Arabidopsis thaliana: one gene and its partners. The protein of the gene in region 4 binds, or shares a complex with, the protein of the main gene of each other region. Each region holds a gene or a part of one and is shown on either strand. Other genes may lie near its edges.

Evidence for each region.
Region 1: DIS2 (region 4) and ARP2 share a complex: the UniProt entries of both Arabidopsis thaliana proteins name them as parts of the arp2/3 complex.
Region 2: DIS2 (region 4) and CRK share a complex: the UniProt entries of both Arabidopsis thaliana proteins name them as parts of the arp2/3 complex.
Region 3: DIS2 (region 4) and AT5G65274 share a complex: the UniProt entries of both Arabidopsis thaliana proteins name them as parts of the arp2/3 complex.

What each region holds. Positions count from the first base shown.
Region 1 is NC_003074.8:9,949,810-9,959,442, forward strand, and holds ARP2 (actin related protein 2), read right to left. Parts: upstream 6,174-9,633; 5' UTR 5,976-6,173; coding exon 5,934-5,975; intron 5,645-5,933; coding exon 5,534-5,644; intron 5,416-5,533; coding exon 5,281-5,415; intron 5,193-5,280; coding exon 5,121-5,192; intron 5,042-5,120; coding exon 4,963-5,041; intron 4,842-4,962; coding exon 4,792-4,841; intron 4,711-4,791; coding exon 4,607-4,710; intron 4,519-4,606; coding exon 4,450-4,518; intron 4,352-4,449; coding exon 4,288-4,351; intron 3,884-4,287; coding exon 3,815-3,883; intron 3,720-3,814; coding exon 3,636-3,719; intron 3,540-3,635; coding exon 3,481-3,539; intron 3,396-3,480; coding exon 3,329-3,395; intron 3,241-3,328; coding exon 3,157-3,240; intron 3,059-3,156; coding exon 2,978-3,058; 3' UTR 2,670-2,977; downstream 1-2,669. Other genes in the region: AT3G26990 (ENTH/VHS family protein), read right to left, coding at 477-645, 774-893, 1,042-1,289, 1,673-1,748; TCP20 (TEOSINTE BRANCHED 1, cycloidea, PCF (TCP)-domain family protein 20), read right to left, coding at 8,001-8,945. UniProt on the Arabidopsis thaliana protein: Functions as ATP-binding component of the Arp2/3 complex which is involved in regulation of actin polymerization and together with an activating nucleation-promoting factor (NPF) mediates the formation of branched actin networks.
Region 2 is NC_003075.7:733,085-740,385, reverse strand, and holds CRK (ARP2/3 complex 16 kDa subunit (p16-Arc)), read right to left. Parts: upstream 4,734-7,301; 5' UTR 4,611-4,733; coding exon 4,522-4,610; intron 4,440-4,521; coding exon 4,367-4,439; intron 4,297-4,366; coding exon 4,196-4,296; intron 4,072-4,195; coding exon 3,936-4,071; 3' UTR 3,421-3,935; downstream 1-3,420. Other genes in the region: AT4G01703 (uncharacterized protein), read left to right, coding at 6,021-6,134; AT4G01700 (Chitinase family protein), read left to right, coding at 6,899-7,301. UniProt on the Arabidopsis thaliana protein: Functions as a component of the Arp2/3 complex which is involved in regulation of actin polymerization and together with an activating nucleation-promoting factor (NPF) mediates the formation of branched actin networks.
Region 3 is NC_003076.8:26,081,146-26,088,070, reverse strand, and holds AT5G65274 (ARP2/3 complex 16 kDa subunit (p16-Arc)), read right to left. Parts: upstream 2,772-6,925; coding exon 2,674-2,771; intron 2,596-2,673; coding exon 2,523-2,595; intron 2,479-2,522; exon of another isoform or gene 2,433-2,478; coding exon 2,332-2,432; exon of another isoform or gene 2,247-2,331; coding exon 2,111-2,246; downstream 1-2,110. Other genes in the region: GCL1 (GCR2-like 1), read left to right, coding at 2-178, 273-475, 781-892, 1,051-1,277, 1,360-1,942; RABA4a (RAB GTPase homolog A4A), read right to left, coding at 3,521-3,968, 4,402-4,634; AT5G65260 (RNA-binding (RRM/RBD/RNP motifs) family protein), read left to right, coding at 5,087-5,209, 5,329-5,428, 5,638-5,708. UniProt on the Arabidopsis thaliana protein: Functions as a component of the Arp2/3 complex which is involved in regulation of actin polymerization and together with an activating nucleation-promoting factor (NPF) mediates the formation of branched actin networks.
Region 4 is NC_003070.9:10,956,875-10,965,346, reverse strand, and holds DIS2 (Arp2/3 complex, 34 kD subunit p34-Arc), read right to left. Parts: upstream 4,440-8,472; 5' UTR 4,242-4,439; coding exon 4,180-4,241; intron 3,990-4,179; coding exon 3,923-3,989; intron 3,830-3,922; coding exon 3,622-3,829; intron 3,527-3,621; coding exon 3,369-3,526; intron 3,266-3,368; coding exon 3,188-3,265; intron 3,110-3,187; coding exon 2,977-3,109; intron 2,881-2,976; coding exon 2,789-2,880; intron 2,663-2,788; coding exon 2,606-2,662; intron 2,536-2,605; coding exon 2,470-2,535; intron 2,384-2,469; coding exon 2,348-2,383; 3' UTR 2,116-2,347; downstream 1-2,115. UniProt on the Arabidopsis thaliana protein: Functions as actin-binding component of the Arp2/3 complex which is involved in regulation of actin polymerization and together with an activating nucleation-promoting factor (NPF) mediates the formation of branched actin networks.

The DNA of each region.
Region 1 (9,633 bases), on a different chromosome or scaffold from region 4:
TTAATATAAAGACCAGTCCCAGTAATCAGAAATGTAGTGACAAAAATTAGGGATCCAAAATTAACCAAAATGTGTAGCACTGGTTATTCTCGTTGCGGATTGGGGGTAAGTGCTCTTATCATTAAATGATTTGACACAAAGATATGCTGAATATTCCTATCAAATGGTAAGAGCCACCATGTTTAAAAGATGATTTTGGCAAAAACTATTTGGAAAAATGAGAGAGGAGCATCATGGAAGTAAGAATTGGAAGCGTGGTAGTGGTTTAAGATCACACATAGACCAGATACGAGATTGTTACGCAAATTTTAAGATTTCGGTTCAGATACAAAGGGTGTGTGGTTAAAGATAGACCAAACAGCTGAGTTCTTAAAACAAACGAATGTAGAAAACTGAAGCTATGTCGCTTGTCACTTGATAAGAAAAAAGCATATCAATACATTTGCAGTAATGTAGCAGCCAATGGACGGTGATACCTGAACTAAGATCTCTTTCAACCTCTTGTGTTGCTTTCTCAAGGTAACCAGCAGCATTAGTAGATTTTCCAACAAGAGCATCCTCATCAATCTGAACGCCGTGAAGAACTTCAACAGCAGACACTACTTTCTCCAGTGTGGATCCATTTACCTGTCTCTGAGGAACAGACTGCAGAAATGACAGAGTTGATTATGTGGTTAGCATGGAAGAACTCGAAAGTAGAAATTATCACATAACAGTGGACCGTACTGAGACATACTGGTACGAAATTGCTTGTACAACAAACTCTGACTTACAAGCTTAAGTGGCACGAGATTTCCGTTTCTGGTTCCATTTTCAGGCTGTCTTCCCAGAAGTTCTTCTTTGAGAATTTGTCCACGGGATCCAAAAACTTTCCTTTCTTCCCATATATTAACCTTGAAGAAATAATTACGATAATTAGCAATGCAGTTTTCTTGTCAAATTCTTTAAATCACATCAATAAGTGGCATTTCTATGTTCTCTAAAATCTCAAACAAAGAGAAATTCAGAGAGAGTGGTAGATAAAAAGTTAACTTCACGTACCAATCGGCGTGCGGATTTTCTTCCAAAGTCATCACCATTTTCAATCATATCACGAAGAGCATCAGGGAGTACTTTCCAGAACTCACCTACAAACTCCGAACCCTTTCGCCTGCTATTCTGCAAGATATCATTCGCGAGGTACAAGTATGCCAAACGTTGCTCACGTGGGGCACAGTGAAACTGCCTACCCCATGTTTCTACAACATGTTTTGCTTTGTTCATGTGAAAGATACACCAATGTGATAAAGCTGTATAACGTCAAGGAAAACATACACCATAATAGTATACAAGGCGAGAGAAAAACAACACATCACATGAGACTAATCAAAGGGAAACTAATTTACAATAAAAGCAAGTTGGGAGAGTTGAGAAAATTATCCGTGTATATCAGACACCAATATCACTGAAACTCAAAATTGGTATAAACTACAGCTCAAGTAAAAGAAAATCCTGAGGAATTTAGATATATTCTGCTTGAGAAGAGATACCAATACTTTCATCTTATACCATTGTTACTCATTAACTTAGATACCAATTCTGTATAGTCTTTTCCAAGCACCTATTTAAGTACTTAAACAATGAAATTACAGAGCTTTACTACAACCAAATTATGATATACAGAAGAGGATACTCTCTATGCTTGCTTGAGAATTGTTGAGCTTGGCAAGCTTCTCAACTAATATCTGAGCGTTAAATGAACTACCCATTGCTTCAACACCAGCTCAAAAACCAGTGTGCCTTCACAAAATCTATAGAGAAACAAAGAAGATACAAGTCAAAAACCCTAAGAGTCATCAATCAAAGCAATGGAAAAGAAAACAAAAAGGGTCAAGCTTTCTGACAAGGAACTCGTAAGACGAAGCGAGAACTAGACAATAGGACAAGTACGTGCATAAACAAAACTAGTTAGTGGCTTTAGACATCAAAGCTTGTATAAACCCTAATCTACGAGAGATAACCAGAGACCAATTTCAGTAGAAAGCAAATACGGAAAAAACAAGCGCGAAGAGGAAATTACAGAGAGAATCAATCAGAAGAAGGAGATTGTTGCGATGATGCTAACAATTAGCAGTGAAGGAGCCAACGAAAATCACGGTTAATAAAATGGCGCCGTTTTCCGATAATGTCTCCAAAACTCGCCGGAGAAGTTTGAGCAGTTTGGAAATAATCTTCGTCGTGGTTAGATTTGGATGAACCACCGGGTGATTTCTCTATAACTTTATGGGCCTATATCTCTTTATTGGGCCAACGCTCATAATGTTTTATATGTCGTTGAGGTAGTTTAACAGTCACCAACACCAACGTTTCTGACACGGTGTTGCCGTTATTGGGCCAAAGCCCATATTAAGACCTCAAAAAGTTTTTACAGTTTTTTATTTTGGGATTGTAAATCAGTTTTTTTTGTTTCTAGTTAATTTAAAAGTTTTCAAATCCTTTTTTACTCATGGCAGGTTAGGTAATCATTTTGTCTTTGATCTAGCTTGAAGCTGCTGTACTTAGACTAGCTGCAGAACATGCAGTAGAAGGAAGCTGGTTCCATCAATTCAGAGTTGTGGCAATCTTTTGGGTTTTAACAGAAAACAATAGGGATCTACCTTGTGTGGCAAGAAATAGGGTTCCTTTTCAAAATTACAAATAATCTTTCACTGTTTTGACTCTGTTTGCTTACTCAAGAATTAAGATATATGCATTTCGTCTCTTCTCGACCTTTTGGCTTTGGTTATTACACAATATATTAGTCTCAACATTATTAGTTAATACACGTTTTTCTGTATATCCCACCAATCACATGTCGAATTTTGGATCCCTAACTGCAACCAATTGTACTCAAACTTTGAAACCTAAAATACTGAATTCACAAACGGAATTAAATCATCCTGACGGTAGTAAAAAAAAGGGGTACAAGTACAAGTATGAGTTCTGCGTTTGAAAGTTATTAAGCTTGGCTCATTTTATTCAAACAATTAATTCCTTCTTCCATATAGTCCTCTCTATTGATCCAGAACTCTGGTGCGTCCTGCAACATCGAATCCAAATTCTCTTAACATCATAACACAGACTAAAATTTCATGCTTTCGTGTTAAAAGAGAGAATAGCATTGAACTTTTCTCTTACCTTCATGATTCCTGCAAGAACAGCACCTCCGAGGTATACCATGTGTTTCCTTCTCGGTGGATCTTCGATCCGCAATCTGAGTTTCTGATTGATAAGAAAAACGAAGATAAATGTTAAAAACTGAGCTAATGACTGACAGTGATCATGGCATTATCAGAATCATCTTTTTTACCTTCAAGCCATCTTTGTTTCCTTTTAGAACTGTGTCGAGATACCGATCCTGTATTTCTTTCTCAAGACTGAAACAAACAGAGAATAAAAGACAATGAAACATAAAACAATGGAACTTCTTGCTGGGTTATGATGAAGAAAAAATATACGAACCGGCTAGGTAATCCTGGGTACATGGTGCTACCTCCGCTTAAAACTATGTGTTGGTAGAGCTGTGAAAAAAGAGCAAAGGGTTTAAGACAGATAAATGATTAGTTTTGTTGGATCTTTCTTTTGAAATACCAAGCAAGCGTAAGAGTCACACGAACCATCATGCGGTTATCAATATCCATTTCTTGAATACATCGGAAAACCATGTCTGCCATTCCATCACCTTCAACATCAATGAGTTCCTGAAAAAATATTTGGTTGTGATCAGCCTCGAGATTCTTGGAGGGTTGAAACTATTCCAAAAGAGAAATTAGCAGAGGACGCGATGAAGGTTTACCGGAGTAAAAAGCGCTTCAGGTGCTTGGAATCTTTCAGTGCCTACTTTGATAACCCTCCCATCTGGAAGCTGATCACAGTTCAAAAACACAACGGGTTAGTACTCTGGAAAAAAAATAATTTGGTGATAATATCAGCTTTAGAGGCTGCAACTGGCACAAGTATGAAACTTTATCGACTATCGGATGAAAAATCCCAAACACAGCGCCCAAGAACAGAGAAACGATGTCATGAAAAGAAAAGATGATAATATCATTCTTTCATTACCAAAAAGAACAAAGGAATGATGGCACGAATCTTTAAAGTTCTCTACAGGCTCAAGTTCGCCAAGAATCTGCTATCTATTTAGTTCTGATCATGAGTTTGGATTCCTATTAGCTTAACGTACACTAGTTTCTGTTTCTTGCCTCTATTTGCCATCGAAACCTTGAAAATTCACACACCTGACAGGTTCATACCAGGAGAGAGACTTACAGTATAATTCTTAACAAGGATAGTTGTCTCAAGGCCAAGCTGAGATTCTCTCTTGTAATCATAACTGCAAAAAAAGACAAAACAAATTGTGTTTATTTCCTATTCTAGTAATGCATTACTACACAGATATTAGAGGAAAGCTGAGAAGAGGTCTTTGCATGCCTTATATAGCAGAGCTTCTCTTTAATTTCCCTAACCGTCTCAAAGTCAGCTGTTTTGTTCATCGCATATCTGTTGAACAAACAGTCTTTTAGTTTAGCTAATTTAAAACATCTCAACATCATTAAAATGAATGTGAGTCTATGAATCAGTTTCTCACCCTCGTCGAGATAGTAGATCAACGAGATATGCTGTTATGTGTCTGCCAGCAACATTCATTCTTTTAGTAAGATGAGGGAACGAGTAGCCGTCAACCACCGGAACCTAAGATGTGAGGCGAAGACGGTTAACTTCTCTATTATAAGCAATATATGATCTAAAAAATTACAGAGGTTTATAGCTTACCACATGAGTAACACCATCACCAGAATCAATAACCAAACCAGTTAGCAAACCTGAAACCAAGAGTTCAACACATGAAGAAAAATATCAGGGAAGCACACATAAATGCTATTTACAGGTGACTATCTAAACACACGAAAGAAAATCTAAACCTTCAATAGTCTCCATAAGCACCTTGAGCATAGAGAGTCAAAACGGCTTGGATTTGAATGAAAACGCCAGCGAAATTGTATTTCTCAAACATTGTCTCAATCTGTTTTATAACATAAAATAAATCACTGCTCCAACAACCATCAAAGCAACTCTTAACCAAAGACTTGATAATATCTTACCATTTTTTCACGATTCTTGGACGGATTAAGAGGTGGATCCGTGAGCAATATCTTACAGTCAGATGGATTGATCTGTTAATAACAAAAAGGGTTTAAGAGTAAGTCAAGACACATGGAACCGAGACAAAAATGGCAAGAAGAAGCAGGAGAAGAAACTTACTTTCAATTCGTTATAGAAAGCATGATCCCAAACATGTTCCATATCATCCCAATTCTGCACAATACCATTGTGGACAGGATAATTTATATCCAATTGATGCCGGAGCTCAGAGCAAGTCTCCCCAACAACTATATCCTAAAATGAAACAAAACCAAAACGTATATGAATCCGAATTACGCATATCAGCTCAGTCAAAACTCAAAAGGCTAACAATGATCTGGTTTTGCTTATTTAAAGTCACATATCTACAAACCTTGACTTGTTGCTCCATGAGTGATTCTTCATACCGAAGCAATGGCCTTCCCACGACACAGGGGAAAACAGACGTTGGGAAATTCTCTCCAGCAAATCCACATTTTACATACTGAAAAATTTAATAAGAGGCTCACAATTTGTTCCCATCACAAGAAACTCAAAACTTAAGCAACCCATTATGAGATTTCTCATGTATTAGTTTTGATTTCAATAGAAACACGATCTTACACTATGCTAAGACATGAAAGTTTTCAAATTTTGCAACTTTAAGACAACTAGATCCTAAACAAACTCAAAAGTGAGATTTTTAACGAAACCCAGATAGGAATGGAATGATTGATCAGATTCAACTAAAGTTCGGAGTCTGAAACAAGAGATATCAGAGAGAAGAAGCTTACACCGGTGCCGTTGTCGCAAACGACGACGTTTTTGTTGTCCATCTTCTCCGATTTCTATAGAGACTACAGATTTTTATCGAAGTACAAAAATTTCGATTTCTTCGATTCGATCTCTCAGGGAACAAAAGAAAAAACCTGTCTTTGAATCGAAGCGAAGAATCACTCTTCTCTACTTGTTTGGTCGCGATCGAGAAAACATATTTGCTCTTCGACAAACAAAAAGCAGCTGTTTCCTCGTTTCTTTATAAGAATGCGCGTCGTTTACTCTACGTGAAAACGTCACGTAGTGCAAACGGTCAATACATAGAAAAAATTATTAAATACGTTACCCCTTTTCTCGAATTATTGAGATGGAGTTAACTTGGTTGTGGGTATTGATGGGCTATCTCAGGCCCATATTAGGTCAAACAGATAATTCTGTTTACTTGTATAACAATCTTCTAGATGATCTAAACTAAGAATTAGTAAATGATCATCATGCAATCCCTTGATCAGAGATTTCAATCACTATTAGGGTTATGTTACGAGAAAGATGTTACTAGGGTTTTGGTACGAAGTTGGGATATCAATCTTCTTCTAGGTTTTTTTGTTGTCTCTATGTTGTCTCAATACTAAAATTTATTCTACATAACATGTTGTAAATTAAGTTCCTGTCACAACATGTTATGTATCAGTCACCAATATAGTAAAAATAAGATAAGACTTTTACAGTTTCACACACACAAGTCCAATGACTTGTTCGATGTAAAATCAGCTTTCATGTTTTCACTTTTATATAGGTTAATTAGGACACACACTGTCTCTCATGCTTACTGGAACATTGCTAAGCTGCTTTATTTAGTTCTGGTAAGAACAAAACTGCATGTCTTAGACCTCAAAGTAACCACGCGTTTCATCTTCACTTCTGTATATTGAAATGGAAGAATTCGTAGACAAGTCAAGCTCCTTGCCCAATGTGTCGAAGAGAATGGAAATTAAAAGAGTAAGCAACTTAAGTCACGCTCTCATCATGAGGGAGGCTTTGGAATGGATCTATTGGAGTTGTATTTGGACCATAGTGTTGAGTTAGATCATTGCTCAAAAGGGAAAGAGAGAGCTTTGTGAATGTTTTTGAATTTTCTTCACTTGTTTTGATTGGTTGGACAAATCATAGAGATCAAGCAACTTTTTGACTCGTTAACCTCTCTCTCTCTCTCTCTCTTAGTCTCTTTCCTTAGTTCCGTCAAATTCAAGTCAAAATGAGTAAAATGATATAAACTTTTTGACTCGTTGAACAATTTATACTTATCTTTGAAAAAGCTTGCAAGGCAAAGAGTAAATGCAATACCAGCTTATTTGGTTCCCAACTGCGAAGGGTTTGTACCTAGTTCAAAACCTTCCCACAGTTAACGGCACACTCAGGGCAATAACATGAATGTAAGTAAGAGTTAAAGAATACAACGTTACCATCATTGTGAAATCCATTGCAGCTCAAAGCCACTGAATCAGAACATGCAGCGAAGTGTTTTACACTCGACTCTAAACGAAAGTCTTTAACTCATTCAGAGAGATCGAACGAAAGAGAACAATCTTTGGAGATGCAATAGAAGAATACTGAGCAAAAGAGAGCTATAAATCTTCATTCTACAAATATGTGATGGAAGACAAGTATACATTACCATTGTTGTACTATCTGAAAAAAGCCGGTTTCTTGATATTCAAAAGCAACAAAACTCAGAACAAGTAAAAACAAGCCTCTCTGCAACTTAAAGACTCCAAACAAAAAAATCTCTGGCTGTGTGTATTCAACAAACTCCACCTGCAAGTTCAAACAACAACTGCCAAAAAATTGTCACAAACACTCGGAAAAAAAGGTTTGAAGATTCCACTCTCTTGTATCATCATCCTCAAATTGAACTCACCTTGTGTTTTTGCAGAGGTTTCAATAAGTATAGATTATCACTCTCACTCAGTATATAACCTTTTCTTTTTCTTCTCCATGGTGGTACAAATTACAACAATATTATCACAAAACAAAAGCCAAAAGCTTTTTCAAATCCAGAAGATACAAAAAAAAACCCAATCCTTTTAACGACCTGAGCCTTGAGAATCATCTTTCTCACCACTCTCTTGCTGATGTTCTTCATGGTTATGATGCATATGGTGAAGAACCCTACCTTGAGCTTGAGCCTGAGCCTGACCCATCTGTTGATAAATCTGAGTAAAAGACTGAGGATTCAAAACACCAACATTCCCTTCTTGAGACAAGCCTAACTCAAGTCCAGGCATCTGATTATGATTCCCACCCAAAATAGATGCAAAACTCATATGACCAACACCAGGAAAATCAAAACCAGGAAACCCAATTCTATAACCAGCTCCTTCACTCATTAAACCAGTGGTTGGCACACCAGAACCAAACCCAGCTACATTTGGCCATAACCCAGTTGGTAAACTTGACCTAGAAACTCCTTCACCGCCACCAATCCCCCAATTTAATGGTCTACCACTACTACTAGACCCACCATCTAAGTCATGACTGATCATTAAACCAGCAGTAAGAGACCCACCTTGATGATGGTTAGAGGTTGCAGCTGAAGAAGCTAAAGCAGAGGCCGGTATAGTTCCTGAACCAGTAGCTGCAATAATCGATGGCTCAGCTTGTTGAAGCAGCCACTGGATAGTTTCACCATCAGATTTATGACCCAATTCTCTAGTCAATTGAAAAATCCTAGCAGCACAAAGAGCAGGCATCCGAATTCGTCGACCTCTACCTTCGACTTTAGTGTGTCTGTCTTTGTTAGAGCTTCTCTTAGGACCAAGCTGGTTCTGATTCTGACTCTTCTTGTTTGGTTCTTTGTCGGAAGCAGAGACCACGATCTGGAAATCTTTAATCTCAGTTGTTGGTTTGCGATTCTCGTCGGAAACAACAGCAGAAGCAGCATCATCATCTACCAAACCCTGATTTCGCGGTGGTGGTGGTGGGTTCAAGAAATTTGGTACTTGGTGACGATTTAGGTTCTTGGGATCCATCGAAGCTTGCTTGTGTGGGGACTTCAGGGTCCAGAGACTTAATTTAATCAAAAATTCTCTTGGATTCAATTAAGGGTTTCAGAATTGTGACGACTTTGTAAAACAAAAGGTATCGAGTTTTTTTTTTTTTCTTTGGGAATTTACGAATTTAATGTTTAAAAAAAAACCCAGTAAGATCCCGATGTAGAATTTGAGGAGAATAAAGAAAAAATGTTTCTTTTGATCTCGAAATTGGTCAAAAAAGAAATGAGAAAACACTTTAAAAGTATGAGACTTTAGTTTTGTCTTTTTCTTTTTTATTCTTGTTTACTTTTTGGTTTGGTACTTTAAATAACAGAGAGAGATAGCGAGTGAGTGAGTCTCATAGGTTTCTCACCAAACAATGCAATTTTTAAGACCATAAACAGCAAAGTAACAAAACGACACATAAAAGAAAAAGTAGTGTGACCGTTTCACTTTCACATTTAATCCAAAGGTAATTGAGAGTCTAACAACTGCCACTTCATTTCCCACTAGATACACAGTGACGGATCTAAAATCTATTTTTACATGGGGCATAATTATATGTGGAAATCAGGTTTCAAGTTAGATTTACCTGAATTTTATGGTACTTTACAAACAGAAGAGTTCCTAGATTGGATTAGCACGACGGAAGAGTTGTTAACATTCAAAAATGTCCCTCATGAGA
Region 2 (7,301 bases), on a different chromosome or scaffold from region 4:
CGGTCCTCGGCTATTTTCTCGTAGTTGTTAATTAACTATAGTGAGGGATCGTGGAATTCTAGCTCGATGTATTAATTAAGTTTGACCTATAGCTACTTATATTTACTCTCTTCACATGCATATATATATAGTATTGTTTTAAGAAAATAGATAATCTTAAGTACTCCTATACTTTATACAGCTTTGGATCATGAACCTACAAGTAATTTATAAGTTCTTGCATCATTTAGTTAAAGTAGTGTAGCGAATTTTCTATTCATTTGTTTAAGAATTAAAAAAATTGTGAGAGAATATGGATTGGATTTTTGAAGTATATATGTATATTTTTACTACATACTTTTGTATTTATTTTGAAAATAATGCAGAAGCGACGAGGTCCAAAATTAAATGGGACCAGCATGTAGGGGGTTTAGCCATCAAATTGCCAATCTTTTTCGTAGTGACTTTGAAAATGGAGCGACCTCTTTAAATTCATATCCACAATTCATTCAAAGATTCACACTCACTCCCGAATTAGTTTTTTTTGGGGTTATTTTGTAGATATATTTTTAAGAAATCATTCGTTGATTATGCACATCACGACGTATGTGTACTCAACCACGCGCGTAAATAAATATGTGAGAATTAGGTTATTATAACTTAGTCAGTTAGTTATATTAATATCGCAAGAGTTGTTTTTTGATAAAATTCGGAAAAAGCTCCACATGTACTAAGATTATGAAGTGAGTCGAGAACATACAACTAAAGTAAATAGATTAATGTAAAACTAACTAAACCAAAAAAAAAAAAAAACTCATATATACATAAATAACATATTTAACTTTTGGTCGCTTTAATTAAAAATATATTATTTCTCTAATTACTCACAAAGTGTTCTTTGTTGAGGTTCATGATGTTTCTTCTTTTGTTTAAGAAAAGTTAACAGAACAAACTTTCAACAACATGTGTATAAATACAATTTGTAATTATATTTATGGCACTGTATATCTGTTACAGTAGAGATGTATACACGTTCGTATAAAGATAAACGTATTTGTTGTAAATCAAAATTATTTTGGTTTCAACTTGTGTTTGCTCCTAATTGTGAGTCTTTACTTCAGTTTTGAGTTTTGAATGGCTAATTTTGTTGAGTTTATAAATTTTGTACTAATTCGTTATAGTAAATGTTATTAGATAAAGCAAATCAAAGTTTGCTTCCTCCTAACACGATTTGAACGTTTTCAAATTGCGATCAGCCAAATATTATATATGAATTATGATATGAGAGAAAGTATATTTTTAAGACATCATATGGGAGAATTTTGTTTTTTGTTCTTTCTTTTTGTGGACAACTGGGAGAATATAGATATATATTATAGTTAGCTTGTCTGCTCAAATATATAATTAACTAAATAATCCACCGATATGCACGTCTAATGAAAGATGATAATATATATAAATATATATAAACATGTTTGTATGTGTGCATTTTTGTCCACATGGTCTAACAAAAGTCAAAGGAATGACCATCTAATTGTCATTGATATGTTAGGTTTAATCATATTTTACGGAAAATACCTCTTTGGTTCTTAATACTCTTCTTTTCGGTCCTTCCTCTCTAAAACCAAACTTAAAGAGACAATACTCAATGTTTTATATGAAAAACTAAAAAAGAAAATCAAACTTAGATGCACCTACATGGATCTTCATTTATAATTAGTTCATAAATGCACATGTGCCACATGTGCCGTTCGAACTGCACGATTCGGTATTCGGTTCGGTTTTGATTCGATTATAGTCTAGTTCTGATTATTTCGGTGTTCTCGAGTTAAAGAACCATATAAAAATCAAAACAATTTTGGTTTAGTTCGGATTTGGTTTCGGTTCTTTCAATTCAGAAATTTAGTATTTATTCAGATATTTTTGAATATTTTAGATATTTTTATATATTTGCGGATATTTTCAAATATTTTTTGGATTTTTTGGTATTCAAAAAAACATACAGTATAAAAATATTTTGAAACTTGAACTTAAATTGTTTTAGCTAGAGTATGCCCAAAAAAAAAAAAAAGGCAAGAACATAAAAGGATATAAGAGGTAGCATATTTATCTCGACGCTATATGTTCTACTTCCAGATTTAATAATTTTCAAAACCATGACAATTAGGATTTGGTGAGTGAGAACGAAAACCAATTACTGACTAATTGAACAAGTTTTCTCACCCAATAAAACAAATACAAAAGATATAGTGAATATATAGCTTATTAGGTTTAGGATTATTTTTTTTGGGTTAAAAATTAGGGTTACGAATTGGGTTGAATTTTTTAAAAACGTAACGTTTGTGATCAGTGGTCGCTCAAATATATATATATATATATATATATATATATATATATATATTTATATTTATATTTTATTTTTTTGTCACTCAAAATTGCTTCCACGTAAATCTGTAAAAAAAGAAGAAGAAGGGAATTCGCTCTCCCATGCACTAATACTTGGTAAGTTATTGAATTCACATCAGACTCCATATAATCCATTTTATCTCCGAAAACATCTGAGTACATAAACAATAATTTAAACGTTTATCACAAAAACACTTATCTATTTCTTTCTAAAGACATCATTTTTTTTATTGGTAATTTTGAATTTTAGAGAAAACAATTTGTAATTAGCTGACAATTTTTTTATATTGTTATATATCTTAATATTTTTGAAATATCAAAAGAGGATCATCAGATTTATTGAAAATAGGTTTTCAAGAGTTCATCTGGAACTACCGGATGCTATAAATAATAAATAAAAATTGTTGTATTTGGAAATTTTTTCATGTGAAAGCAACTACTATTTCTGGGATTCCCTTTTGTTACTACTACTACTCAATTACTCATTTAATTTGATCAAAAAGACTGTAAAAGTAAAAACTTAATTGCTTTTGTCTTTTATAAGGAAACGTTGATCAAGCTGATGCTTTGGCAAAAGCTGCTCTTGTTTCTTCTTGTACTAACGTTGATAAAAAAAAAAAAAAAAAAAAAAAAGATCTAAACTTTTATTTAACGCTATTTGACATTTGAATTCAACCTGGTTTATTACAATCCTATAAAATTTTAAAAATCTAAAGAGTAAAATTGTTTAAATCAATGACTAACTATGTGAACATTTACTCTTGTATGACGAGTGCATTTACATTGAAAGTTTAGAAATGAATTTAGTTTCAATGGGCTGAGTTCGATATTGGGCCTTCGAGTTATGAACATTCAGTGAATCAGGAATGGTTGTATTCAACTTGTGATTTGTAATTTTTTTCTCAAATCCTTTGTTATTGAAATTGGAATTTATATAAAATCACTCAAAAGAATCTATAATCTTCTGTTATTCATTCAAGAATTTATAAAACACATCTTAAATCCACTGTTATCTAAACTCAACAAAACAATTTCATTAAAAACATTTAACATTGATTCTGGGAGACTTAGGCAAAAAAATTTAGTTGAAAATAAGCATGAAAAAATCTCACCTGTAGGTGTTATTCTGAACGATTTGATTTAAAAAAAGATTCACAGAAAATCTCTGCGACATATTCTCATTGTCCTCCTCCCCTCGTCTTCCATGAAAAAAGCTTTCGGTCTCTGTTCTTCACCGGCAAAATCGAGAATGGATTTGGTCTGTAGAAGAATGCAAATTCCACCAAATCTTCTAAAAGATTCTGGTTTCAATACACCCCCCTAAAATTACTTAATCACAACTTGGTCTTCGTATTTATGATTCAGCTGATCCGGGAATTATGTTACACATGAGCTCTAGGAATGACTTGTGTTATCATTTATCAAGCAACTGTTTGGTAATGAAAATACAAGTCTAAAACTGATAAATGTGAGACATGGTTCCTCAAGGAGAATATGCACATTGGAAACATCAAGGCATCAAGTAATAATACATAAGAGGGAATGATGGATCAAACGGTGTTGATGGTATCAGTAAGACATCGGAGAATGCAACCGAGACCAGCTCTCTCAGTGAGTTTCTCGTGAATCTTCAGGCACTGATCGCAGGTGGGTCGGTCCCCAGTAGAAAGTCCTCTGTACAAGTACCTGAGAATTTTAAGCAAAAACATTCTATCAAAGAGCACAGACAGCCTGAGGATAGAGCTTTCCAATTCATACATATTACAAAACGCATTACAGCAAAAAAAAAAAAAACCAACTTTGCACTTACTTCATGAGAATGTCGTAATATTCGACATCAAGAGCATTGAGCATTCCGTCAATATCCTTAATGGCCATTAAAGCTCTGTGCACAACTATCCAATTAGCCGACTGCAGTTGAGTTTTTTTTGGCTCAGTAAATCAAAAAAAAAAAAAAAGATGGTTTCGGAAAGAGAGAGACCTTGCAACGTTCATCGCGAGTTTTCGGAGGCGAACCTTCAAGAGCCGTTTTCAAAGCTTCTACATGTTTGTACCTGCACACATTAAAACACCGATAAGGGATTAAACCAAAAACAAAAGAAGACTTTAGGGTTTAGCTCCAAGGTCTGATATTACTGTTTGAGTAGGCTTTCAATCTTCCTCGATTTGGTTTCGATCCTCGCGATTATTGCTTCTGCGTTATCAGCTTCAACGAATTCTGCCATTCTTCGATTCGATCTTTCTCTCCGATCAGAGATTTCCCCTCTTTCCCTTCTTTAATTGAAAAAATGAGAGAGAGAGAGGAAAACAACTCAATCGCCATTTGACCATTTCAAAAGGGAACTGAGTGCCGTTTGTCTTGGCCTTAAACGGCACGTAGTCTTAAATGCTTATGCTGCCACTGAATGATGGATGATGGAAGCTTCATTTTTTTTTTCATTTTTTGTCAATAGGATTTTCATCGATAGGATTCAAGTTGAAATACAAGAGCCGGCAAGTACAAACCACTTCCGGAGACATAAGCCGATGAGTACAAGAACACTCCCGAAGCCAAATACCAAACAAGGTAAACAAAGGGAACAAAATCCAAACAAACCAATTACACTATATTCATTGAAATTTCCTCGATCAGGTTCTAGAAATCCAAAAAAGACTTACAAATCCTAAGTCATAGAAAATTAAAACAAATCTGAGACTAAAAAAGACACACAAACGGGTTACAATACAAGAATCTCCTTTTCTTTCTTGGTATAACAATTTTTTTTTTATTATAAATCTCTCTTATAAATTTTTAATAGTAATATTTGTTGGACCGAATTTTTTATATTTATACTAATGAACTTTTCTTTACGATTTTGTTACCATTTTGGTATCATTTTTACGATTTTAATTTATTAACCTCCTTAATTAAAATCGCAACCTATTCTATTTTATTAACACAGGTCAAAATATATTTTTTTCTGCGCTCGACCCTAATATGTTAACAAAATGGTTGTTTCTGCCCAAATCTCATTATATTTGTATGGATAGACGAAGAGCATTTTGATAATACTCTTTTGGAATGTTTCTTTATCATTCTAATTAGGATCCTACATCGAAAGTATACTATAAATGGAGTAAACACACTCATGACTGCTAAGTGCTAACACTAGTATATATGGAACACAACCAATCCAATCATTACCCATTGGTTTTAAATTAGAATCTGATGAAACTTAACATTAACTTTCTCTAATCATTAATGATATTGGTAGTCTTATAACAAATATATTGCCAAGATTCGGTCTAAGACCACTTGATAGAACTATGTATAAAACTTCTTTTTTTTAACTGCCAAACCTATATAAAGTGGACGTGTAAACTAAAGCATGGTGATCACTTCACATCGCACCAATGTAGTGGATCTAAACGTCTCTTTGTGTAATCACGTGGTCGAATTAATGGTCAATCATTTAGCAATTAACCAAATTTGAAATAACATCCGAAAAAAGTCGGTTTAGTGGGAGGAGAAGTGAGAATGATGTTTCATGAATGCTCGTTAGGAACTCTTCGAAAGACGATAACCTCGGATGGATGTTTATGGTGTCGGCTTCTAGTGGTTAAACATAATTAGATCGTCTACTGAAAAGTTGGAGATGTGGTTGAGAAACTCGTACCCTACATATGGTTACTCGTCTGCTGGTTTAATCGTTGGGATTGATCGTGTACTAGTCTTTCTTAAAGGCCAAGAATTTTGTCGTCGTAGTTAATATATGTTGGCGTACGTTTTACTGTTTTTCTTGAGAAATAATTGGATCTTAAGCTTATTAAAAAAGTCGTCACGACTTGGTCCAACTCGTACATATCACAAGTTGCTCGGCGCTTTTCATGTTAGTTAGCCACCGACCTCGAACTTTGAAATTTTATATTTTTTAACTTCAAAAACAATTCTTTGATAGTTTTGTTTTCATTGCTAATATTTCTCTCAATTTTTTTTTATTGTTTTTATTTTTGTATAGAATAGTATTCAAAATGAAACTATAATTCAGTATGGAACACTTTCTGTTTTATTTAATATTTACTTCATAATGAATTATGTTTCAAATTTTCAAAGAATATATTTATATTTGAATTTGGTTAGTACCTTCCAAAGAAGCTTAATTCCCCACATTAAAATTCAACTTGGTCTTCATATTAACATTATTCAATTGAATTCAGACTGAAATGGTTCACTTTATCTGGTTTGAAATATATGTCATGCATTTTCCAAATCAAGAATGAATCTTCTTGAAAGAAAAAAAATGAGAAAAAAGAAGAAGGAGAGGAATGGGTCTCCTAACAATGAAAAAGAGAATAAACCCTTAAATAATTGCAACTATATAAAATAAAAAGTATAAACTCCACTAAAAAAAGTCAAAACGTAGACCAAAACAAAAACATGTAACTAAGTCGTCCACTACTACATCTCTATGACTCTATATAACAACAAAGCCAAAACCACATCTTCTCACACAAAACACAAAAAAGAACAAATATGGAGAAACAAATCTCTCTATTGCTCTGTCTACTCCTCTTCATCTTCTCAATATCATCCTCTCTCCATGAAACCGAAGCTCGAAAACACAATAAATATAAACCCGCACCGATCATGAGCCTAGTCCCAAGAACTCTCTACGACCAAATCTTCATCCACAAGGACAACAACGCATGCCCTGCAAAAGGTTTCTACCCCTATGAAGCTTTCGTGGAGGCTACAAGATCCTTCCCGAAGTTCGGGAGCGTAGGAAACTTTTGGACAAGGCGACGCGAAGTGGCTGCGTTTTTGGCGCAGATATCTCACGAGACAACAGGTGGTTGGGCCACGGCACCAGACGGACCATATGCGTGGGGATTGTGTTTTAAAGAGGAAGTGAGTCCACAGAGTAATTATTGTGATG
Region 3 (6,925 bases), on a different chromosome or scaffold from region 4:
TATGTCGTCGTCGGTGGATTTCGTGACGGAACAGGGGAGATGCGGCGACGATGGTAACGGCGCCGGAGAGACAGTAAAGAATGGCGAAATTGATCATTTGCTTTCCGAACCGTCGGCTCCGACTATTTCTCTCCCTACGGAATCTTTCCTCAGAGCAGCGACGTTACTCAAGAACCAGGTGCGTTACGATAACTATGCGACGCCCCAGACGGCTAATGTAAGCCTAGTCCGTACGTTCGCTCATATATGTTTTTTGGTCGATGTATGTATAGGTTGTGGAGGCCACGTGGAAAGGTGGTGTCGAAGCTCTTGCCTCTGGTTCGGGTCCAGTGCTGGATCCGACTGTGTACACAGGACTACTCGGCACAGCGTTCACCTGCTTGAAGTCGTACGAGGTAACGCGGAACCATCAAGATCTGCTAACTTGCGCAGAGATAATCGACACGTGTGCCAACGTTGCGCGTGCCACAACCAGGTGAAAATATCTTCGTCACTAAGTTGCTTAGCCAAGTAAACATCAAATATCATCTTCCATAAAAAAAAAAAATGGAATCTAACCATTTTAAAGAATATTCTTAATTAAAATCTGTCTGATAGAAAACACATGTGTGAGATTGAGTCATTACAAAGATGTCACTGTTTAACCAATTATAGTTTATAGAAAATTATGTATGTATGAACGAATTTTCAGGTTCTGGAATAATAACAATATCTACACACCCATTAGAATGGACTTGTCATTTTCTAACAAATTATTGGACTTGTTATGCTCATGAATAGGCACGTGACATTTTTATGTGGAAGAGGAGGAGTTTGTACGCTTGGTGCAATTGTAGCCAATTACAGAGGGGACCAATCAAAGCGTGACTTCTTCCTCGGTCTTTTTCTTGAGGTTCCAATCTTTTTGACTTCATACACCATTTCTTTTGCTTACAACACTTTCAGATAAAAGCTATAGATTCAGTATTTTGATCCAACGTGTCATATATTAACCCTTAAGCAAGATTAGTGAAGTGACGAGCCTTTAAGATTTGTTATTCTTACAAGCAGCTTGCAGAAGAGAGAGAGTTACCAGCAGGACCAGAGGAAGGAGGATTTGGGATGTCATATGACCTTCTCTATGGAAGAGCGGGTTTCCTTTGGGCTGCTCTGTTCCTAAACCGATATCTCGGCCAAGGAACTGTTCCTGACCATCTCTTATCACCCATTGTTGCAGCCATCTTAGCCGGTGGGCGAGTTGGAGCTGCAGATCATGAAGCTTGTCCTCTGTTATACAGGTTTCACAAAATAGCTATAGTTTGTTAAAAGAGAATCCTGTTTATCTTTAGTAGGAATTGATCTTACTTTTGTGGCTTTTAGGTTTCACGGAACGCGATTTTGGGGTGCTGCGAATGGATTAGCTGGAATCTTGTATGTATTGCTGCATTTTCCACTATCGGAAGAGGATGTTAAAGATGTTCAAGGGACATTGAGGTATATGATGAGTAATAGGTTTCCGAACAGCGGAAACTACCCGTGCAGCGAAGGGAATCCGAGGGATAAGCTAGTCCAATGGGCTCATGGAGCAACCGGCATGGCCATTACTTTGGCTAAAGCATCTCAGGTGTTTCCCAAGGAAAGGGATTTCCGCGAAGCAGCCATTGAAGCAGGAGAAGTAGTGTGGAAGAGTGGCTTGGTGAAGAAGGTAGGTTTAGCTGATGGAGTTGCTGGTAATGCCTACGCTTTCTTATCCCTTTATCGCTTAACCGGAGATGTTGTATATGAAGAGAGAGCAAAAGCGTTTGCGAGTTACTTGTGCCGTGATGCGATAGAGCTCGTGAATATGACAAGCCAAGAAACAGAACATGATTATTCGCTATTCCGGGGACTAGCTGGACCAGTATGCCTCTGGTTCGATCTTGTGTCGCCGGTAGATTCTAAGTTTCCTGGTTATGAGATATAATTTAAAACCAGGTAACCGTAGGTTCTTTTATGACTATCTCTTTGTGAAAGGATCTTAGGTTCTCCGGTTTATTCCACTTTCTATAATCTATTGAAGTAACTTGAGATTTGGGAGAAACATTCATAGAAAACAAGAATAAAAGTAACATGAAAAGATCAGCTTAATGGTTTAAACGGTATTGGTAGTATCACTCAGACAACGGAGAATGCAACCGAGACCAGCTCTCTCTGTTAGTTTCTCGTGAATCATCAAACACTGTTCGCATGTGGGTTCGTCACCAGTCGAAAGACCTCTGTACAAGTACCTGATCCACACCATTTAAGCAAACAAAACACTGCTTCCACATCACGCTAATTAAAAGCTAGCAGAGCAAAAGGCAAGAGACTTACTTCATGAGAATGTCGTAATACTCGGCAGTAAGAGAATTTAACATTCCTTCGATATCCTTTATCGCCATGATAGCTCTGTGCACAACTATCCAATTAGCTGACTGCAATTTCACAGATATTTATCATAAATTACACAATCTTTTTGATCATGAACAAACTACTTATGTGCATGGTAGAGGAAACAGTAGGACCTTGCAACGTTCGTCGAGAGTTTTAGGTGGCGAACCATCAAGAGCCGTTTTAAGAGCTTCGACATGTTTGTAGCTGAATAAAACGAAGTAACAATTATAGCCTAGGTCATCTGAGAAAGTTGGAAGAAAAAAGGAACTTTAGGGTTATTACTGTTTGAGTAAGCTTTCAATCTTCTGCGATTTGGTTTCGATCCTTGCCATTATTTCCTCTGCATTATCAGCTTCAACAAATGCTGCTGCACCAGCCATTGGATCTCTCTCTTTCTCTACACTCTCCAGCAAAATTATCTAAAACCTAATCAATTAATTTCATTTCTTCATTCAAATCGACAACTTGCTGCATAAGAAACATATGATTTGAGTTTACTAACCAAAGGAGGCAATGCAAAACTTGTCATCCCCATAAAAAGCTAAAAAGAGAAGTAACAATCACGACAAAATCAATTCTAATCACGTAAAACAATCCATTGCCGATGGTACGCAGATTTCTCACATCATATCAGATCAGTAATCCTGAACTTTCTGATCAAATCATACAAGATTGAAGAATCAAGCAGGATTCGAAGATTACCTGAAATTAGAGAGAATAAAGCAATCGAGTGGTAAAACGGCCGAGTGAGAATTTATCAGAACTGTGATACCAATTATTAAAATCGGATGCTTCAGTTTTTAATTTTTACTTTTTCACATTGACGTAACAAGAGAAATAGAAAAGTTGTTATTGCTGGTATATATTTGTAATTAACAAAAATGTAACAATAATCTTACAAATGTAGAGAGAATAAAAACATGTTGATCAAATTAATATCCAATTTTTAAGATCAAATTAAGATCGGTTTGTTATACTTGGATTCAACACCCCAAAACCCCACAAAAACTGCTCATTAAGCAACAAATGAATCACACAGCTCTAGATAGGAGAAATATCCCAATCAGAGTCTTTAAAACATCTATATATTGTTGTTATCAAGTAACATTCAAGAATTGAATTGGTTTATCTAAGAGTTACAACACATGTTACTCTTGTTTGGTATCACTTGACCAGGACCTGGAACAATATCAATCTTCTTACCAGCAAGCGACCCGGGATTACCATTCTCTTGATCTTCACTCGCAGCCAGACTTTTCTTGTTCACAATGTTGAAGATCTCAGTCAAAACCGTGGAGAAAGCGCTCTCAACATTGGTTGCGTTAAATGCAGATGTCTCCAAGAAGAACAAACCTTCTTTCTCCGCAAATTCTTTCGCATCTTCTGTCGGTATAGCTCGTTGATCCACAAGATCTGACTTGTTCCCAATAAGGATTATCACAATGTTCTTATCTGCATGAGCACGTAGTTCTTCTAACCATCTTGGGATATGGTCAAAGGTTTGGCGTCTGGTTATGTCATACACCAACATCGCCCCAACCGCTCCTCGGTAATATGCACTTGTTACTGCTCTGTATCTGTTTCAACCAATACCACACATATAGAAAGATATACAATGTAAGCATATGATAAGCATGAAATGTGGTGGTTAGCTTACTCATTAAAGATCAGTGAATGTATAAAGTTGATGAAGCATCACTGGGAAATGTATAACAAAAGTGTCCAAATTTGTACCAATCATAAAATTATAGAAGCTTAATAACATTGGAATAGTAATATACATAATTCTAGTCTATACATAATTTTGAAATCCCAATCCCAAATTCTCAATGATTCTACCATTTTACTTCAGATCCTCCCAATTTCGTATACAGATCAGTAAGCTTTACTAGAATTCGAAATCCTAAGCAGACCTATCATCTTCCAGATCTAGAGAAACAGTAAAATCTTACGAGATCTAAGTTCAAGCAATTGAAGTAGCTAAAAGTTCCGGGAGAGGTCGGAGATTACCGTTCTTGGCCGGCGGTATCCCAGATCTGAGCCTTAACACTCTTGTGATCGATAACAAGCGTCCGAGTCTGAAACTCAACGCCGATGGTGGCCTTAGAATCCAAACTGAATTCGTCTCTAGCATAACGAGCCAGTATCTGTGATTTCCCAACCGCGGAATCGCCGATCAACACCACTTTGAACACATAATCAATCTTCTGCGACGGATCTCCGTATCCTCCTCCACTAGTCATCTTCTTCAACGTCTCTCTCTCGCTAAATCCTCTCTTGCTAAATCCTCTGTTTTAAGCTTTTACCGAAAAGTGAGCTTTTTTGAAGTTTTAAACGCAGAGAGAGATCTGATACGGTCGTATTGTCGTCGTTGTCAACTATTAGTCAATATTTTTAATTAATGATGACGTGTCTAAATATTAACCGTTGGATTCTGCCGGCTCGGTGAGATTTGACGGATTCGACAATTATCTTTCTGTCAGGCGCATGTTTTTGGGTGATGATGTCATCAAATAGGGTAATTTCGAATGTTAAAAAGTCTTTTAAAATTGGGCCTTATTAGGCCCATTAAGTTATAATAAAGGGCCGTTATTTGGTTGATTACGTGTCGCTATCCGAATTGACAAAAAGTGACCTAAGCGTTTTCAGAAGAAAACAAAGCAAACGTCGCGACGGAGAGAGAGCGAGAGAGACGATGGAGGAAGAGGAGCACGAGGTTTACGGTGGTGAAATTCCAGACGTCGGAGAGATGGATGGAGATATGGAGGCTCTCAACCCCGATTTGGATATGGCTGCTGCTGATGATGATGCGGTTAAGGTCTACTATTATCTCTTTCTCTCTTACTGTTTTGCTCATCTTTATGTGACTGAGCTCGATTGATTTGTTATCGCGTGTATATGTGTTTGATTGTTGTGTTATTGCTGTTGTAATTCTAGGAGTTGGATGAAATGAAGAAACGATTGAAAGAGATGGAGGACGAAGCTGCTGCTCTGCGTGAGATGCAGGCTAAGGTCGAGAAGGAAATGGGAGCTCAAGGTTTTCGTCTCTTTGATTTGGTTTTGCTATAACTCGCTTCTTTGATATGATTATCATCGTGCTTCCCGCAATTCGCTAGGTTTTTGATAATTGGTAGCTACTTGGTGGTGTTTGAATCCATCTTAGAATTCCACTGTGAATTATGTTATGTATATGGAGTTTTTTTTTGCTTCTTGACTAAAGTTTTTGGTTCAATTTTGTTATTCCAGATCCTGCTAGTATTGCAGCGAATCAAGCAGGCAAGGAGGAGGTTGATGCTCGATCAGTTTTTGTTGGCAATGTAAGAATATTTATGTTTCTGCGTCGTTTTCTTTCTTTAAGCCATCTTAGCTAGCTTCTGCTTTATTTTCATAGTTTTTAACTCGTATTGATCTTAATGTTCATTGGATTAGACTATGAATTGTGCCTTTTTTAGCTCTCTTGATACAAAACCTTTTATCTAGGGTGTTAGAATTATTATCGTAGAAATCTATTATCTGATTATGTTCTCTTCCTGATCCATGATTGCATTCTCTACATTTAGTGCTTGAATATATCACTAGTTTACTCTGACTTTTGGTGTAATGTCACATCTTTGTTGCTATGGATTCTTGTCTATTCAGTGAGAACTCTTATTAGATGAAATTGTTGAATGGTAAAAAGTTGGTGCTTAGCGTGAAGACTTTATCTTCAAATGAAAACTAGTGAGGGGTTTCTGTTGTTAGTGATATTGAGGGTTTTGGAAAGTAGATTGAGTCTTCATATTACTGGTGGAACCTTAGCCTTCAGATATAATTGAAAATTTCATATGTTTAGTAACTTTTCTGTGCAAATTTGAGGATGCTATAGTTTTTGTTTTCTGGCGTTGAGTTTTACTTTTCTTATGATTTTTCTCACTACAATCGCAGGATTTTGTTCCTGAAGTTCTTAATTGCTCTGGGTTATATCAATTAGGTTTTGTGGGGTCTTTACATTTTCCTTTTATGGAGTTGAAAAAGATCTGTTCTGTTTTGTTGTGGAACATGATGAAAAAAGCTAAAAAAAAGAGGCAAAAAAGCATTGAATAAAGCTATGAAAAAAGAATAAAGAAAAGGAAATGAATACGCTTTAGAGCAATATAGAGAAGGAAAAATGTTATGATTATGAGGGAAAAAGAGATATCTGGAGAGGGGACAATGTTTGAGTGGAGTATTTCTCAATCCATCCTCGAGGAGATAGCGTTTGAAGTGCTGCATCAAGATGCTGGATGCTTTGTAGTCAAGGCTCATTAGCTGCGTTGGTGAGAAGCAGCTGTTTGATGGTAACATAAAATTAAGCTTGGCATAAAGTTTATGCTCGGTACACAGCGTAAGGGATCTTTTCAACTCAAAGGCTGCTCAAGTATACTAAATTCCACTTTGCTTTCCTATTGTTCTGCTTTACCTTGCACATATATTTATGTTGGTGTGTGTGTAATGAAGGATAGTAAAAGAGGAATGTCTTTGCTACGTTTTCTTGTTTAGCTGAACTAATTAATTT
Region 4 (8,472 bases):
CAAGCAATCGACACTATCAAACTGTAAACAAGTGAATCATCCAAAATTGAGAACATTGTGATCTCAGACACTCCGACACTACTAGTCGAGATCCCGTATCATCTGGCAACATTCGTCTAAAACTATCTTCTTCTACAAGCTTCAAGCTGCTAAAAGAGACTCATCGATAGAAATTTCTCCTTTTAAGTCATATGCTATTAGAACTAACCAAAGACCCAATAGAAACCGCTACAACAACCAAAGAGAACTATCACACGAGCAATAGGATACAAAAGAAACTAGAAAACCATCGCTCCTTCTGAATCTAAAATACGAAAAAGTGGGAGACCAAGGTTTGGAAGCACCATGCAAAAATCGATGTTGTTTTTAATCGCAACTAGAACCGATTAAAGATGTAGCAACCAGACGTTGAATCAAGGAACCTCAGTGACAAACATAAATGAATCTCTCAAATATGCTAGATGTCCTCGAGCTAGTACGAGGAAGAGAGGCTATCTAGAAATAGAAATCGATATAGATGAGAATTTAGACACGTCGAGCAAGATCTCGAACTGCAAATAACTTAAACACTCTGTCATTTACCGCTAAAAACGATATCGTTGAATCATAAAATAAAGGAAGTTTCCTCATGACACTAGCAAGAAATGCAAAAATGCCAAAAATACGAGTAAGGCAAAATGTCGATATGTTTCTAAAACCCTAATCTGTTTTTGGAAAGGAGCAGAAAACACATGTGTCTCACACGCCCGCTACCTGAGCATCATGCTACTCTACTTTCATCTTTCTAAGAGCATTTCCAAGCCATCTCTATACTTTATTTTTGCTTTCATTTTACTTTAACTTATCTCTATTTTTATTTATATAGAAGAAAAATTAGAGATTTCTAATTTTCTTAGAAACCATTAAAAAAATAGAAAAAAAAATAGAGACAATTTCAATAATTTAAAAATAATTAGTTCATTATTCTTTTATATTATTTTATTTATGTAGTTTGGTTCCATGTTTGTAGAATTTTTTAGTTCTAATCTCTCTTATCTGAATAAAACCAATAATAAGATAAATACGAGAAATTTGCGAAAATAAATCTAGTGTCCTTGTTGTGATTTCATTAAAATTTTAAAATAGTTCTCACGCTTTATATGGATTACCACAAACTCACATTTAAATTTTATGTTTTTTTTACCAAGCCAAAAGGAGGAGTACTATTTACGCAAAACCAAAACCTAATCTTGGTAATCGATATTCGATACCCAGCTAATCATTATCAAAAAAGTAATAATAAAACTCAAACCATAATTATCTAGAAAAATGAATCTGTTATAATACAAACACCAAAACGACAACGTAACGTAGTACGGTAATCGGTATGATGCAAAATTATCACAGTTTGTATGCTATATTGTATAATCTGAATCTACCGTAGTATATAAATCGTATGTTATCAAATCGATATTATGGTCTAGTATTAAAAGGATTTTGGTGAAATACAACTTCATATCCGAAAATAATCAGACAAAATTTCTTTAACGCAAGACATAAAACATCATTTATATCAAATACTATTCCAGCTTCTTTATCCATTCTCGAAACAATATTCTAGTCCTTAGAGCTAATGAGAGATTATACAATGGTTTGCGAAAATGTGAAGGTGATCAGTAAGGAAGATAGAATATGTTAAACCAACATCAAGAAGACAAAAAGGTTTCGTGGTGTAGTTGGTTATCACGTCAGTCTAACACACTGAAGGTCTCCGGTTCGAACCCGGGCGAAGCCAGTTAATTGCTTTTTATTTCATTTTTTGATACAATGAAACCTAACAATATATGCCCAGTCATAATTTATGGGCCTCAAAAGTATACTACGAAGGAATCGTTAATTTACTCGTGCGACCTTTGAATCTTCTTCTTATACCTTACTAGATCACTACAAATCTTTGATACATCTGTGTATAAGGATAAATTGAACGTTTGTTTTTATATGAAAATCAACTTTTACGACTATTTGTTGGTACGAATATTACTTCATTTAATTTGACTATCTGAGAATCTGAAGAACAATAAAGATTCATCTTCTTCATTTTTGTAAAAACAATTATAAAACAAAACAAAAACTTTATTTTCTGTTGAAAACACCATGTTTAGATCAAGACCAGACACAGTCCATATCAAGGTGAGTTTCTTACAATTTTCACATTATACATTTGTTCAAATATTTAGCAAGATCAGATGTATAGAAATATCTGAAAGAATTGTACTAAAATAAATATCACAGAGACTTAATCCAGTAAAAAAAATACATGTCTCAGCTAATCACAAGTTTTTACAAAATTGCTTCGTGAGAAATCCAACTACTTCGAGTTGGTGTGATTGACCTCGTTGAGTCCCTGTGAGGAAGAGGAAACAAAGCTCAAAAACAATGCAAACAAACAAAGAAAAAGTCTGTCGAAAAACAAATTGTTTCGCAACTTACTAGCCGTTTAAATGACTTGTTGTTCATCGATCTTGTTTTCTCCAATGGCTTAGCTTGATCCAGAGCCTGAGACAACAAGATTTTGTTAACTAAAGAACGCATATCCAAGTCGAATGTAATGAGTTTGGTGTTTTACCTGAATCATAGATTCCACGCGACGCCGCATCCTGGTGTGCATAAATCCCTCTGAGAACTGTGATATAACAACAAACGAACAAAAACTCAGTTTTACAAATCCATACTAAGATAGAGAGACTAAGTTCTGGTATTTAGAGAATATGAAAGTAGAAAACATGAAAGTTCGATAAAGAATATGAACCTTGACGTGATAACTAACATAAGCATGAAAGGTCGATAAATTCCAGACAGTACGATCGAGCTTTTTCCCTTCCACATGCCGAGGAAAAATGACTGCGATATATCGATAATCTCAAAGTTAGTTTCTTTCAGATTGGTACTACCAATGCAAATTGAGTTCGAACAGAATATATTTTAGAAAGATCATACCAAAAGTTACAAAACCGGCATTAGCGGATAGTGTTTCTTTAGGAGCTCCCTCTAATTCCTGCGGTGCGGTTGGAGACCAAGAACAAGAAGGAGCAGTATTAAGCGCAGCAGCACGCCTCGCCTCTACAAATTCCTATATCATTATATCCAAAGTTTCAGTACTACAGAAATCAAAACCTGTTTGAAAATTTAGCTTTGATCATTTTGTCACCTTAAGGAAAGAAGTCGCCAGAATCGTGTCTACGGAGTCTTTAAATCTCATAGGAAATGCCACAGTGACTTTATCCGCCTGTGATACACAGTTAAGTTCTCTATCACTCTCTAGATTCTTACTAATCATAAGAACCTACTTCAATGGCTACATACGAAAGACCTATAGAGTATATATATACCTGAGGCACGAGGAAAAACGTCTCGTTAGGTCTATGCATAATTGCTACAAGCCTATCCAGCTCAGGAGCAACCGTCCTTGAAGCTAAATGCTTGAAAATGATTTTTAACGGTGCACCCATCACCACTTCTCTAATGGAAGCTAGCTTCGTTAATAACTCTGCCAAAACATAGATACTTTCTATTAGAGAACAAAACCAACATCTAAATCAAAACAACATCTTATCAATTAGAGAAAGAGACTCGTTTAAAAACCTTCATCAGGACGAACTTTAGAGAAATTGAGCTTGAGGGTTAAACTAAAACCATCTCTAGGAGGATCAAGTATTTGAAAACCTGTCCCGTAAGTGGTTTTAATAGCTTCTATAGCTCCTAAAGGAAGTCCATCAAAGGACATTGCTTCAGGTGGTGGATTTGGTAACGAAACCGAAAGCAACAACAGATTTGGATTCTTCATTGTCACCTATCAAACAAAATTCATATAGTCTCAGAACATTGAACAAGATCATATGGATCTCAGAGGTCAAATACTCAAATGTTGGTATAAAATTCACACCTGAACATGGTAACGAACATCATCAAATTCAATCCATTGATAATCTAGCTCCACTGCTTTATCAAGACTGAACCAAAACATAAACAAAATCAAGCAAAGTATTGAACTTTGGTTCCATTCTACAAAACCCAGTTCTTCCAAAATGTTTCAGATTTCTTCACAAAATCAAAATCAAATCGACCAAAATAAAAAATGGGTCTTATTGTAGATTAGGTAAAACTAAGAGTGTACCTAATTAAGAATTGAAAAGCACTTACTTTTGAGCTCGCGTCAATAGCGTTTGAAGAAGAAACCTTGAATGTGACTGCAATAGTATCATCGATTACTTTCTTACGATATCTAAAGGAGTTAACTGAATCACAGAGAAACCCTAGAGCCTTTGAGTTCTTCTCACGGGATCTAATCGGAGAAGAAAGAGAGCTCGTCGGAGACAAACGAAGACGACCGAGATTCTCTGTCACAGCTTGAACGTTTCTTCGATAACTTTTTGGAATTTTACTAATTTGTTCAATTTTATTACTCAGCTACTCAGCTAAGTGTAACGACGCCGTTTCGTTATTTCTGTACTTTATATTTTTTATGAATTTAAATGGCCCATAGGCCCAATTATGTAAATACTATGTAGTATAAGCTGAGCCCATTTCATAAATATACAATTTGAGCTTAAACGTTTCAAAAATATTTAATGTTGCAAATATCTGTATGTTTGTTTTGACAGTGGCAAACTAGTAGTGTTTTCTAGATTTTTTTTTTTCCTTCAGATTTTAACATTTGTATTATTATTTTTTCTCTGGCTTTTGATTATACCTGGCTATGTTGATTGTAATCTGACGAAGGTTTTTAAAAAAAAAATAAGCACGTAAATTAAATGATATTTTATATTTTAGATTCCAGATATATGATTATTTGAATGGAAATAAACGACAAAAATTAGTGGAGCAATGTTTTCGTATTATCTGACGTCTTCATAATATTTTAATCTAACAAAAGTTGGAATTTGACCGTTTAATGTGTGCTTTTAAAATTGAGAGATTAATTTGGATAAGATATGGCTCTTTTCTTTTTGTAAGTGGAGATATTTAACTAATTAGAATGTTACATTAGTTTTTTCAACAATGAAAAGATAAGATATTTGATCTATAAGTCTACGTATATTTTCAAATTTAAATTGGCCAGAGTGGGATAAAGACAAATAACATATGCATGTGAAGTTTTTATTTTTATTGATATTAAAGTAGACTAGTATAGTCTCTAAATGTAATTTAACGAACAATAGTATACGAACGATTTATAGTTAATATTAGTTTAAAGCTCTTTAAATAATATTCTTATTAAGTTTTTTTACTTTGACGACAAATATTTTTAGGTTAGATATGAAAGCTACATCTACATATAAAAAGAAATTATTATTTTTTAGCTTTAAAATTGTCTATTTTGAAATTGATCGTGGGCAGACGGATGTGAGAGATGAAGGAGCCTCAAAAGCAAAACTATCTCACGTATCTATACGCACACACATATATACGGATATGGTCCTACTGCATCGACATAAGCTTACATACTATAAATGCATGTGATGGCTTTTCTTAGCATAAATATTCATGAATAAATATGCGAAGTTATATTTATATTAGGGAGAAAAAAGTAGATATAGTAAAATGAGTAACGTTTGTAAGATAGATCGTGACATGGTCTTGGCAAAAGAGGAGCCGCTAGGGACGTATCTTCGCCATTGCATATTTGCATATCGATCTATATATAAGACCAAGTACTGATTTTAGAAAATCTGAAAAAAGCAGAAAAAGAAAACAGTCGTACGTACGTTATTTCTATAACCGGAAAACTTTGATAAAAACTTAAACCTTTCCTCTTATATTGAGAGTGAAAATTTTAACCCCTAAACCATAGATTGGTTGACGTAAAAGAATGTTATTTTTAACTAATCGATGGTAGCTCATTTAGCTGAACAATGATATTTACATTTTTATATGTCGAGTCATGGAGATAGTTAAAACTTCCAAACCATCCCTCCCAAAACTTCTATTGTATATATATTGCAATTTTTATTTTTCGCAATAAGAATTTATCTTTTCTAGAGTCTAGACTAAATTGTACTTTTGTGTTTGGTATAAAACTCTCAAGCAAAGTTAATTTTGAATTGTTAGATTCCAGCATAATTATTTATACAGTTAGCTAGTAAGCAAAACTGATTATGAACTCGTGAGACTTCTTAACTGTTCTAATACAACTATATATTATTATTATTAAAATTTACCGTGTCAAAGTCTAGGGTTCTAAATTTCTAATTAAATATTACCAGAAAGTGATGTAAAAACAAGGAGTACTAGAAAAAGTAATATCAAATATGGATAAGGTGAGTCATCGCCACGCATGTTGTCGAGTACGTACAATTGCGAAGGCCCATCATTTTTTCATATTCTGTAAACGTCAATAAAGTGACTAATATACGTCTATATAATATAAAATACTTCTATGTATATTAAGTGAAAGATTCTTGTAGGACAGTATACATACTCCAGTGGATAATCTAAACTTATGAATTAAATTTCATTTCATTGCACTTGTGGGCCGTGACAAATAGCTCCGTAATTCTAGACGATAGACCATATATAAACACAACTATATAGTCTAATATGTTGACCCAGATGTTTTAAGAGTTGTGTTACAAAATGCAACACGTAAATTATCAAACCAAGTAAAATCACATGTCACATGCATGTGCTAAATGTTTGAAACAGATTCATTCATATTCGTATAATGAACGTGAATCCGAGTGATCACATGGACTAACTTTAATTTCGAACCTTATTTTGTCTCATTATATGTCGGAGAAACCACCGAATTTCTAGTTTGCCCATCACGGGATGCTCTACTTCATCTTCTATACGCTCTTTCTGTAACGTTTTATGGCTAGCTATATAATATATACAACAAGTACTGATCATTCTATTATTAATCTAGGTTCGAACCACATTAACGTGGATATTCTATGTACACTCATGTTCAGCCAGATAATTAGTCGTACCAAATATTAATATTTTGCAATAAATATCTCAGCTTTTCTCAGGTATGTAGCAATCATGAGTCATGCGTGATGTTTTTGGACAAATTATCTTAAAAGAAAATAATTCTACGAAAGGGTAGTAAAAGTGACAATATATGATTATATAATTTGGTTTACAGACCATCATAATACAGCAGCATGATTAGTGGCGAAAATAGTTTATTGCAAGAGTATGCATGTGTATGTATATATTGCATTTGTGTGGCAGTAGGTGGTCATTATCGCATATATACTACATGGGATTATTGTCACAGGTTTAAATGGAAACCAATGAAACCTTCACATTTTAGTTTAGTTCTAATTAAACAGAGTCGATATATTAAATGATTTAACTACTGTAACAAAAAGATATATAATTTTATCATTTCATCTTGTTGACAAATACATTTTGTTCAGCACTAATCATATCAATCACTTGTTATGCACTAATCGCAAAACGTTTAGGAAGCAACAATAATTTGGAACCTGTTTTATCAACAGTAAAAAAAAATTTTGTTTTATTGGATTAGTGTGGTCCCTTTGTTTTGTTTATCTCATTTTCACCGCAAACTAAACTAGATTTTGTTTGATTTGGAGATCTTGTAACGCAGTGAGTGGTTAAGACTTAAAGATCTCACGTGACGATGCATTGACTCATCAACGCGAATTTTACACGGCTCGATTTTATTATAAACCATTACTTCAAATCTAATTAATTTAACAACAGCGACCACGCATAAAATTGTTATCAGGCAAAAATGAATAATTTGCATACAAATTACTTGTTTACACTTAGTACTAATATAAACTCCCTTTTTAACCAAAGCCTATAACCTAGAGACATGTGCTGATAAAACCAACTATAATCTTTTTTTTTTTTTAAAGAAAATAATCGTACTATTATATATGTCATAATTATATTTATATTCAAATCCGGAAATTTGTATGCGTTGTAAGTTTTTTTGGGGAAGTAAAATTGGAGTGTGATATATGTGTTGTAACTTGTAAAACTAGAAAATTATTTTGATTTTACATTTGGTGTTAAGAGTAAGAGTTTTTGCACCTAATATTTAAATAATTCTTTATTAATAGGTGGAAAACTATCGAATGTTAATTCCATGTTGTTGGACCTATATGTTGCATTTGTATATGTTCGATCCTCGTCCTTTTTCAATGTGCAGATTAGTTCATATTTCTTTTTTATAACTAAAATTTTTAATACCAAAATCCAAATAAGTCTTGAAATTAAATGAAAGTAGTGCATTCTTCGCATTTAAAATATTTGCAGTAATGAAGGATCTACAGTATTATTAAATTTTTAATAAAAGAACTTGAACCCTAATCTCTTAACTCCATGCATGTCAAAAAAATCCAACCACTTGATTAGATTAGATTTTTGCTAACTTATTTATATTCATTTACTGATATAGATAATCATTTACTGTAGTTTGAAAATAAGAAAACATGATACATAATTAATAAATTT